Linked DNA regions of Alligator mississippiensis. Each later gene encodes a partner of the first gene's protein in a complex. Links are inferred from orthologs where the notes say so. Each region holds a gene or a part of one and is shown in the gene's direction. Other genes may lie near its edges. The genes, in order: TAF3, TAF13 and TAF10.

What was found.
Region 2: TAF3 (region 1) and TAF13 share a complex: the UniProt entries of both Homo sapiens proteins name them as parts of the TFIID basal transcription factor complex. The link is inferred for Alligator mississippiensis from reciprocal best matches to the Homo sapiens genes TAF3 and TAF13.
Region 3: TAF3 (region 1) and TAF10 share a complex: the UniProt entries of both Homo sapiens proteins name them as parts of the TFIID basal transcription factor complex. The link is inferred for Alligator mississippiensis from reciprocal best matches to the Homo sapiens genes TAF3 and TAF10.

What each region holds. Positions count from the first base shown.
Region 1 is NC_081827.1:10,624,307-10,628,051, forward strand, and holds the start of TAF3 (transcription initiation factor TFIID subunit 3), read left to right. Parts: upstream 1-1,209; 5' UTR 1,210-1,312; coding exon 1,313-1,478; intron 1,479-3,745. UniProt on the Homo sapiens protein: The TFIID basal transcription factor complex plays a major role in the initiation of RNA polymerase II (Pol II)-dependent transcription.
Region 2 is NC_081824.1:247,514,111-247,517,855, forward strand, and holds the start of TAF13 (transcription initiation factor TFIID subunit 13), read left to right. Parts: upstream 1-1,103; 5' UTR 1,104-1,166; coding exon 1,167-1,193; intron 1,194-1,277; coding exon 1,278-1,356; intron 1,357-1,470; coding exon 1,471-1,568; intron 1,569-3,745. UniProt on the Homo sapiens protein: The TFIID basal transcription factor complex plays a major role in the initiation of RNA polymerase II (Pol II)-dependent transcription.
Region 3 is NC_081824.1:483,482,690-483,485,246, reverse strand, and holds TAF10 (transcription initiation factor TFIID subunit 10), read left to right. Parts: upstream 1-798; coding exon 799-1,057; intron 1,058-1,189; coding exon 1,190-1,332; intron 1,333-1,412; coding exon 1,413-1,477; intron 1,478-1,554; coding exon 1,555-1,669; intron 1,670-1,766; coding exon 1,767-1,856; 3' UTR 1,857-1,928; downstream 1,929-2,557. UniProt on the Homo sapiens protein: The TFIID basal transcription factor complex plays a major role in the initiation of RNA polymerase II (Pol II)-dependent transcription.

The sequences.
Region 1 (3,745 bases):
TATCTTTTATTAGACCAACTGAGTAGCTGGAAAAAATCCCTTTGCAAGCTTTTGGGCACGAGCAGCCTTCTTCAGGCATAGCTGCTCTGAGATCTTCAAGGAATGAAAGTAGCTACAAGTGTGACAGGAGGTCAGTGAGAATGTAAATCGGTGGAAATTAGGAAAACAATGGGTAGAGCAGGGAAGGGAGGAGGAGGGAGAAATAATGCCAAAGATAAGCAAACTGCAGAGAAAATTAGAAACCACCTTTTTCACCTAATCTACTGCAGAAATCAGCGGAAGGAAATCACCACTTAAAAGAGAACAATTCAGACATCTTCCCTAATATTGTACGTCTGTCTATCTCTCTCTCTGTCTGTCTATCTATCTATCCAAAGAGACCACCGAAGATTTTCTACCACCTCCAGGAAGAGCACGCACCAACTGCAGATGCTTCCTCAGCCTGACGAAGGGTGTTTATACCCGGAAACTTGCAAAGAACCATTTTTCCAACTAATTCAGTTGGTCTAATAAAAGATATCGGATTTACCCAAAGAACCTGGTTTGCCGAGGTCCTTAGACCAAAACGGCTACAACCCACCCCCCTGTCCCAAAGGTAAGCAGGGGAAGACGGCGGCAGGTGACATCTGCCAGGTAGAAGAGAGGCAGTCTGTGAAACAATAATTATAATATCCTCTCTACCTGATGGCTGGAAATTAGGAAGACAAAAGGTGGAGAAGGGGAGCGTAAATGGTACGGTCAGGGGGTGTAGCTGTGTGGGTCTAAGAATGTCGTTAGATATGATTCTTTGCATGCTTGCTGGTAGTTGGGCCACTTATGGTTGTGGACTGACTCTTGAATTTGATAATTTGGGCTAATTTGGCGGCATATTAAATATATTAATATATATTTGCGGGATATTAAATTAAAAGACAGACAAAACAACCCCCCCCCCCAAAAAAAAAAAATCATCTGTTTTTTATTACAGCTGGAAAAAAAACCAGTAGTCAGGTCAGGCAGGATAAGGTGCCTACAACGAGCCACGGTGCAGAGTCTGGGGCGGGCGCGCGCAGCGCTCGCAGCGGGGAGCAGGGCGCGGCGCCGCACGTGGCTGCTCGCCAGGCCGCGCAGTCGATGCCGGAGCCACGGATGCGCCGCGGAGGCGCTGGCTCGGCGCTCGGCCGCGCGGGCTGGCGGGAGGCGCGACCCCAAGATGGCGGCGCTGGCGGCCCGCGGCGCCCGGGCGTGAGGCGAGGGGCGGCCGCGCCGGGTCATGGCCATGGCGGGCCGCGCCGCGCCCGGGCCGCGCTGAGCCCCGCCCCGCCCCGCCGGGATGTGCGAGAGCTACTCGCGGTGGCTGCTGCGCGTGTCGGTGGCGCAGATCTGCCAGGCGCTGGGCTGGGACTCGGTGCAGCTCTCGGCCTGCGACCTGCTCACCGACGTGCTGCAGCGATACCTGCAGCGCCTGGGCCGCGGCTGCCACCGCTACTGCGAGCTCTGTGAGTGCCCGGCACGCACCGGCCCGCGGGGGGGTGCCCGTGTGTGTGTGTGTGTGTGTGTGTGTGTGTGTGAGGGGCTGGGGTTGAGGGTGCCCCCTGTGTGTGGGGGGGGAGAGGCTGGGGTTGAGGGTGCCCCTTGTGTGTGTGGGGGGGGGGGGAGGGGATGGGGTTGAGGGTGCCCCTGTGGGGGGGGGAGGGGATGGGGTTGAGGGTGCCCTTTGTGTGTGTGTGTGTGTGTGTGTGGGGAGGAGGGGATGGGATTGAGGGTGCCCGTGTGTGTGTGTGTGTGTGTGTGTGTGTGTGTGTGTGTGTGGGGAGGAGGGGATGGGGTTGAGGGTGCCCGTGTGTGTGTGTGGGGAGGAGGGGATGGGGTTGAGGGTGCCCGTGTGTGTGTGTGTGTGGGGAGGAGGGGATGGGGTTGAGGGTGTGTGTGTGTGTGTGTGTGTGTGTGTGTGGGGAGGAGGGGATGGGGTTGAGGGTGCCCGTGTGTGTGTGTGGGGAGGAGGGAATGGGATTGAGGGTGCCTGTGTGTGTGTGTGTGTGTGTGTGTGTGTGGGGAGGAGGGGATGGGGTTGAGGGTGCCCGTGTGTGTGTGTGTGTGTGTGTGTGTGTGTGGGGAGGAGGGGATGGGATTGAGGGTGCCCGTGTGTGTGTGTGTGTGTGTGTGTGTGTGTGGGGAGGAGGGGATGGGGTTGAGGGTGCCCGTGTGTGTGTGTGTGGGGAGGAGGGGATGGGGTTGAGGGTGTGTGTGTGTGTGTGTGTGTGTGTGTGTGTGTGGGGAGGAGGGGATGGGGTTGAGGGTGCCCGTGTGTGTGTGTGTGTGTGTGTGTGTGGGGAGGAGGGGATGGGATTGAGGGTGCCCGTGTGTGTGTGTGTGTGTGTGTGTGTGTGGGGAGGAGGGGATGGGGTTGAGGGTGCCCGTGTGTGTGTGTGTGGGGAGGAGGGGATGGGGTTGAGGGTGTGTGTGTGTGTGTGTGTGTGTGGGGAGGAGGGGATGGGGTTGAGGGTGCCCGTGTGTGTGTGTGTGTGTGTGTGTGTGGGGAGGAGGGGATGGGATTGAGGGTGCCCGTGTGTGTGTGTGTGTGTGTGTGTGTGGGGAGGAGGGGATGGGGTTGAGGGTGCCCGTGTGTGTGTGTGTGTGGGGAGGAGGGGATGGGGTTGAGGGTGCCCGTGTGTGTGTGTGGGGAGGAGGGGATGGGGTTGAGGGTGCCCGTGTGTGTGTGTGGGGAGGAGGGAATGGGATTGAGGGTGCCTGTGTGTGTGTGTGTGTGTGTGGGGAGGAGGGGATGGGGTTGAGGGTGCCCGTGTGTGTGTGTGTGTGTGTGTGTGTGTGTGGGGAGGAGGGGATGGGGTTGAGGGTGCCCGTGTGTGTGTGTGTGTGTGTGTGTGTGTGTGGGGAGGAGGGGATGGGGTTGAGGGTGCCCGTGTGTGTGTGTGTGTGTGTGTGGGGAGGAGGGGATGGGGTTGAGGGTGCCCGTGTGTGTGTGTGTGTGGGGAGGAGGGGATGGGGTTGAGGGTGCCCGTGTGTGTGTGTGTGTGTGTGTGTGTGTGTGTGTGGGGAGGAGGGGATGGGGTTGAGGGTGCCCGTGTGTGTGTGTGTGGGGAGGAGGGAATGGGATTGAGGGTGCCTGTGTGTGTGTGTGTGTGTGTGGGGAGGAGGGGATGGGGTTGAGGGTGCCCGTGTGTGTGTGTGTGTGTGTGTGTGTGTGGGGAGGAGGGGATGGGGTTGAGGGTGCCCGTGTGTGTGTGTGTGTGTGTGTGTGTGTGTGTGGGGAGGAGGGGATGGGGTTGAGGGTGCCCGTGTGTGTGTGTGTGTGTGTGTGGGGAGGAGGGGATGGGGTTGAGGGTGCCCGTGTGTGTGTGTGTGGGGAGGAGGGGATGGGGTTGAGGGTGCCCGTGTGTGTGTGTGTGTGTGTGTGTGTGTGTGTGTGGGGAGGAGGGGATGGGGTTGAGGGTGCCCGTGTGTGTGTGTGGGGAGGAGGGAATGGGATTGAGGGTGCCTGTGTGTGTGTGTGTGTGTGTGTGGGGAGGAGGGGATGGGGTTGAGGGTGCCCGTGTGTGTGTGTGTGTGTGTGTGTGTGGGGAGGAGGGGATGGGGTTGAGGGTGCCCGTGTGTGTGTGTGTGTGTGTGGGGAGGAGGGGATGGGGTTGAGGGTGCCCGTGTGTGTGTGTGTGTGTGTGGGGAGGAGGGGATGGGGTTGAGGGTGCCCGTGTGTGTGTGTGTGTGTGTGTGTGGGGAGGAGGGGATGGGGTTGAGGGTGCCCGTG
Region 2 (3,745 bases), on another chromosome or scaffold:
GAATCACTGCAGTAGATGAATGCAGGCAGGCCCCGAGAACTTCCCCTCAGGAGATGATCGAACTGAGGCCCTGCAGAGAAGTAACAAGTTTCTCAACTAGTATAACCCCTGCCTAAAAATCCTAGATGTAAATAACTGCATGAAAAAGGTGGCAAGTAGTAGCACAGCTCACAAGCCCGGCTTGAGAGGGAGAAAAAATGCTGTTGGGCCAAAGTTCACGTAGGACAGCAGGCCTGGAGTGCCTAGAAATGATCCCCAAAGGAGTCAGTCTCTTCCAAGCAGCGTGTTGTGAGTTCTCCCCTCTGCTCGTCCCTCCTTGGGCTGGGCAGAGGGAAGCAGGGAAAGGCAGAAGGCTGGTTTAGCATGTTTAAATAGATTTTCACATTCTTTCCCAGTCAAGCCTGAATACCTTGTTTTCCACTTGTAGTTTCTCATGGGCTCTTGTCTAACATGGAGCTGTAAAAGTGTAGTCTGACATTGTGGAGTACAAGCGAAGCTGAAGGGACCTCAATGTAGGCCAGCAACAGGCACTACGTAGGTGGGGAAAACTGCAGGGGTTGATAGTTCCCAACTCATGAGATTTGGCCTCTCTTTATAAGAGGCACAGCACAAGTACAGCCAATATATAATCTAATTTTTAAATATTTTATTAAAAAAAATATTATAAAATATTTTAAGTTTAGTTAAAATAATTACTTTTTAAAAGTTAAAAAAATTAAGATTAAAAATTATGTTTAAAAAATTTTAAAATTAAATTTAAAAAAATGAAAAAGCACGTGTCTGTGCGTGCGTGCGGCGACACCCACGCCGCCCCGGCCCAGCCCAGCCTTGAGACTGCTCCGCTGTCCAACAAGCCGTACACCGAATTGGCGGCGCTAGCCAGCAGAAACCGGAAGTTCCATGGGAGTCAACGGAAGCCTCACACTGATGGGACAAAGGACGGGGGTGGGAAGATTTCGAGCCAGCGTCCGTACGGCAAAATGGCCGCGCGGGGAAGCATAAACCGGAAGTGTGGTGTGCGTAAGCGGAAACGTCCATGGAAGGGACGAAGAAAGGGGCGGAGCCCCGGTTGTAGTTCCTTACGAAATCATGGCGGCCCCCATAGCATCACCCGGAAGCTCTGCAGGCTAGGTCGGAAGTGGCGCGCAGCAGGCGGGCCGGGCATCATGGCCGACGAGGAGGAGGACGCGCCGGTGAGTGAGTGAGACATCCACGGGGAAGTGTGGGGAGAATGCTCTGGGCATGCAGTAACCCCTCCCGCCCTTTACCATCCGCAGTTCGAGGAAGACGCGGAGGAGGCGGGTGGCGGCCTGGACGGCGGGCAGGGCAAGCGCAAACGCCTCTTCTCCAAGGAGCGTGAGTACTGGGGCGTTCGCATGCGCGGGGGTGGGGGGCAGTTGGCCCTGTCAAGCTTGAGGCCCCGGCAGATGGTAACTGCGCGTGCGTGGCGTTCTCCCTTCCGTTCCCTAGTGCGCTGCATGATGTACGGCTTCGGGGACGACCAGAACCCCTACACCGAGGCCGTGGACATCCTGGAGGACCTGGTCATCGAGTTCATCACGGAGATGGTGCGTCTGTGCTGGCCCTGCCTGCCCCCCCGGGGGGGAGGGTACCCCGTCTGGGCGCGTGGGCCACCCTGCTGCAGCCTTGCACAACAGTGGGGAACCTGGCTTGCCAAAAGGAGTCTCATGAGGTTCAACAAGGACAAGTGCAAAGTCTTGCACTTAGGACAGAACAATCCCATGCACCGGTACAGGCTGGGGGCTGACTGCCTGGGCAGCAGCTCTGCAGAAAAGAACCTGGGGGTTTCAGTGGACAATAAGCTGAATATGAGCCAGCAGTGTGTTCTTGCTGCCAAGGCTAACAGCATACTGTGCCGCATTGGTAGGTGTGCTGCCAGCAGGGTATGGGAAGTGATTATTCCCCTCTATTCAGCACTGGTGAGGCCACCTCTGGAGTACTGTCTCCTGTTTTGGGACCCTACTACAGAAAGGATGTGGACAAATTGGAGTGAGTCCAGTGGAGGGCAACAAAATGGTGAGGGGACTGGGGGACATGACTTCTGAACAGAGGGTAAAGGAACTGGGCTTATTTAGCCTGCAGAAGAGAAGACTGAAAGGGGATTTAATAGTAGCCTTCAACTACCTGAAGGTTGGTTCCAAAGAGGATGAAGCTGGACTCTCAGCTGGACTTCTCAGTGGTGGCAGATGACAGAACAAGGAGCAGTGGTCTCAAGTTGCAGCAAGGGAGGTTTACGTTGTGTATTAGGTAGAATTTTCATACTAGAAAGGTAGTAAAATACTGGAATGGGTTACTTAGAGAAGTGGTGGAATCTGTATCCTTGGAGGTTTTTAAGACTTGCCTAGACAAAGCCTTGGCTGAGATAATCTAGTTGGGGGTGGTCCTGCCTTGAGCAGGGTGTTGGACTAGATGACCTCCTGAGGTCCCTTCCAACCCTCATCTTCTATGATACTATTGCATTAGGCCCCTTGGGTTGGTGAGATGCAACCTGTGACCTCCTGAGGTCCCTCCCAACCCTAATTGTCTATGATTTTTCTGTGATTTCAAGAGCCTTACTACAGACAAGTTCCCAGCAGTTCACAGTCCAGCATAGTGACTGTGCTTCCAAGAGAGAAAAGAGACGTGTGCATTGCAGTCCATGTTAGTTTTAAACGATACCTTTTAAAGAAATAAAAGTGTACGCCTCCTATGATGCTGATTTTCAGCCAGGGTGCCGCAAAGCTCCCTTAAGGGTTGCTGCACAATATTAGCACTTAGGTGTGACAGCACGTACCTGTGGTTCATAAAATAAACCTGGAGACCCACGTTTTTGCCTTCCCCCTGTAGCAGTAGGCATGGCTCTCTTCCTGGGATCCCTTGAGCATATATTGACAGCATTGCATAGAAGCAGGACCTTGTCTGCCATGGTTCCTCTGCTTTACCTGTGGTAGGTTAGGACAGGCGTTGTCAACCGGGGGTACTTGGGAAGGCCCTAGGGGGTATGCACAAGCGAGCAGGGATGGAGTGCCACCACTTCCCAGGAACAGGGCCAGGGTGGGGTAAGGGCAGAAATGCCCCTCTGTGGGCTGCACAGGCACCAGTTGTACATGGGGCGGGGGGGTGGGGAAGATTACGCACAGCAGCCATCGCTGCCACCCACCAGGCCACACTGCTGTCACTCTGCATCTGGCCATGCACGCGCACCCTCCCCCCCCCCCCCCCCCAGTTCCATGTCCACCTGCCAGGGGTACACTTATTTAAAAAGGTTGAAACCCCCTGGGTTAGGATGTTAGGTCTGTATTGTGTCCTAGTTGATGGTAGTCTTACATAGATATTAGATTATGGTTTGGATGGGTTTGATCCTGCCTCAGGCAGGGGGTTAGACTAGATGACCTCTAGAGGTCTCTTCCAGCCCCACTTCTCTCTGACTATAGTCTGTGACTTTGTGACGTGCTACCCTGTTGGCTTTCTGAGTTGTTTGCAGCAGCAGACCAGCTTTGCTATTTTCTGTAGTCAAAACTTAGAGGTGGGGGACAGGTTTCAAATCCGGTGGTTCTCAACCTTTTTGGACTCAAGCTACCCCTTCATCACTTGTGTGAATTTGAATGGCACCCATTTCAAAAACTAATTTATATATTACAGTTCTTACCCTGCCCTCCCTCCCTCCCTCCCCCCTTGCAGGGGGCCAGGCAGGGACAAGTCTGAGCCTGTGCTTATCTGCTTGTCTCTTCATATGTTGCTTATC
Region 3 (2,557 bases), on another chromosome or scaffold:
CCTGTTCCAGCCCTGCGGTGAGTCCCTGAAACAGCCACTGGCCCTGCCCTGCAGCCCCTGAGCACAGAGGGATGTTGCAGCTGAGCTGCGGAAGGAGCAGCTGCCCAGCCATGCTCGCTGCAAACCGGCTGGTACCGGGCAGGGCTTGCAGCCCTCCCTGTGCTGCAGCAGTGCCCTGGCAGGGGCGGTGCAGCCCCTGCGCGACCTCCCAGCCTGTGTGCTCTCTCCCGGGGCAGATGCGGGGTGGAGGAAATAAAAGCATTTGGCCCTCATGTCTGTGTCTGTGTGCCTTGCAGGGGCGGGCATGGCTGGGGGGCCTGGTGGGGAGCAGCAGGGCCTGGCCTGGGCGGTCAAGAGGCCTGGAGTGCTGGGTGGGGGATCCCTGCCTGCTGGGGCAATAGCCCTACCGTGGCACACCAGCTCAGCGGCCCTGGGTGCAGGGTGCTGCTGAGGCCTGGCGGTGCCCCACCGTCTGCTCCGCGCATTGACTGGTTCTATTAGCTCTGGGGGGAGCTCCAGCTGTGCCCCTGGGGCCATCCCCAGCTCCAGCTGTGCCCCCGGGCCATCCCCCCCCCTCCAGCTCCAGCTGTGACCCGGCTCCCCGTGTTGCGTTCCCCCGACCGCCAGGGGTCGCCTCGCTGGCCCACGGCGCCGCTCTAGGCGCAGGCGTCTGTCTCGGTGGTGCGGCGCGCGCCGCTCTGCCCCAGCGCTCTATGGGCTGCGGGGCGGGGCCTGGGCCGGCCGCCCAATCAGCGCGCGGGGGGCGGGGCCCGGGCTGCGCGGCGGGCGGCCCGGCCAATGGGCGCGGCGGGCGCGCCCCGGAAGTACGCAGAGCCGGGCCGGCTCGGAGCGCGGCTGCGGGAGCGGGAGCGGGACCCGCCCGCCATGAGCGGCAGCGCCGAGCCCGACCCCGCGCCCGCGGCCCCCGCCGCCGACGGCAAGCCCAGCCCCGCCCCCGCGCCTGGCCCCGCCCCCGCGCCGGGCCTCGCCCCGCCCGCCGCCGCCGCCGGGGGGGCCGCCCCGGCCGGGGGGGGCGCGGGCGGCGCCAGGGGGCCCGGTGAGGGGCGGGGCGGGGCTCAGGGAGGGCAGGGGGCGTGGCGGGGCGCGAGGGGGCGGGGCTTGCAGGGGTTGTGGCGGGGCGGGGTGCGAGGTCCGCAGTGACTGACCCCCCCCCCGCCCCTCCCCGCAGTGCCCGGCCCCCCGGCGCCGGCGGAGGCGCTGCCCAACGGCGTGTACATGCCGCCCGGCGCGGCCAACGGCGACGTGAAGCCCGTGGTGTCGACCGCGCCCCTCGTGGACTTCCTCATGCAGCTGGAGGACTACACGCCCACCGTGAGCGCCGCGCCGCGCCGCGGCCGGGGGGCTCGCTCCGCGCCGCGCCGCGCCGCCTGACCCCCGCTCTCCCCTTGCAGATCCCGGACGCCGTCACGGGCTATTACCTCAACCGAGCCGGCTTCGAGGCGTCCGACCCGCGCATGTGAGTGCCCCCCCGTGGGCGCGGGGCCACGGCCCGGCACCGCGTCCCGACCTAACACCCCCTCCCCCGTGCCGCAGCATCCGCCTGATCTCGCTGGCCGCGCAGAAGTTCATCTCGGACATCGCCAACGACGCCCTGCAGCACTGCAAGATGAAGGGCACGGCCTCGGGCAGCTCCCGCAACAAGAGCAAGGTGAGGGGGGGCGCAGGCGCGGGCCCAGACCGCGCTGCTGCTGCTGCGAGGGGGGGGGCGCTGGGGCCGCGGGAGCATGACGCCGCCCGTCCCGCAGGACAAGAAGTACACGCTGACCATGGAGGACCTGACGCCGGCGCTCGCCGAGTACGGCATCAACGTGAAGAAGCCGCACTACTTCACCTAGCGCCTGCGCGCGCCGCGGGCCCGGGCAGAGGGGCGGGACCCCGTCTGTCATTAAACCGTGGACTTCGGGGTACTGGCTTCTCTGCGGTGCCGTCTGCCTCGCTCGCGCCTGACCCGGCGTCGGGCTTCGTCCGCGCCGCGGGGCACGGGAGCCGTGGGTGGGCGGAGCGGCCGCAGGATTTGGGGTCTGCATCTTTAGGGCCGGGCGGCCCTCGGCCCCTGCGCTGGGGGGGGCGCTCCCGACCCCAGCTGCTGCACCAGGACACCCATCCTCGTCCCAAGGGCCGGCGGCCACGGGGCGGACAGATCCTGCCGTTGCCGTGGTGGCTGAATGAGGAAGGGTGGAGAGACCGAGTATGGCTCAACACTTCCTGCAGGGCAGTCACGTGGCCCTGTGGCCCCGGGTCAGGCTGCTCCTCCTTGGGCAGGGCACCCCACCCACCCCCCGGCCCTGCATGGGCGCAGCGCCGCGCCCAGCCACGCGTGGCCCCTGGCACCCCACCACTCAGCCACTCGTGGTCTGCTTTTGTAACAAAGATTTATTCAGACGCTGGCAGTTTTCCCATGGAGCCTGGATGGAAACCATGACAAAGTGAAGCGCAAAGCCAGGGTGGTGCTGGCCGTGGGCAGGCCAGCCCCAAACCTCCCTCCCTGCCAGGGGGGAGAGGCTGGTGGGAGGGGTAGGTCCTGGGGAGCACAGGG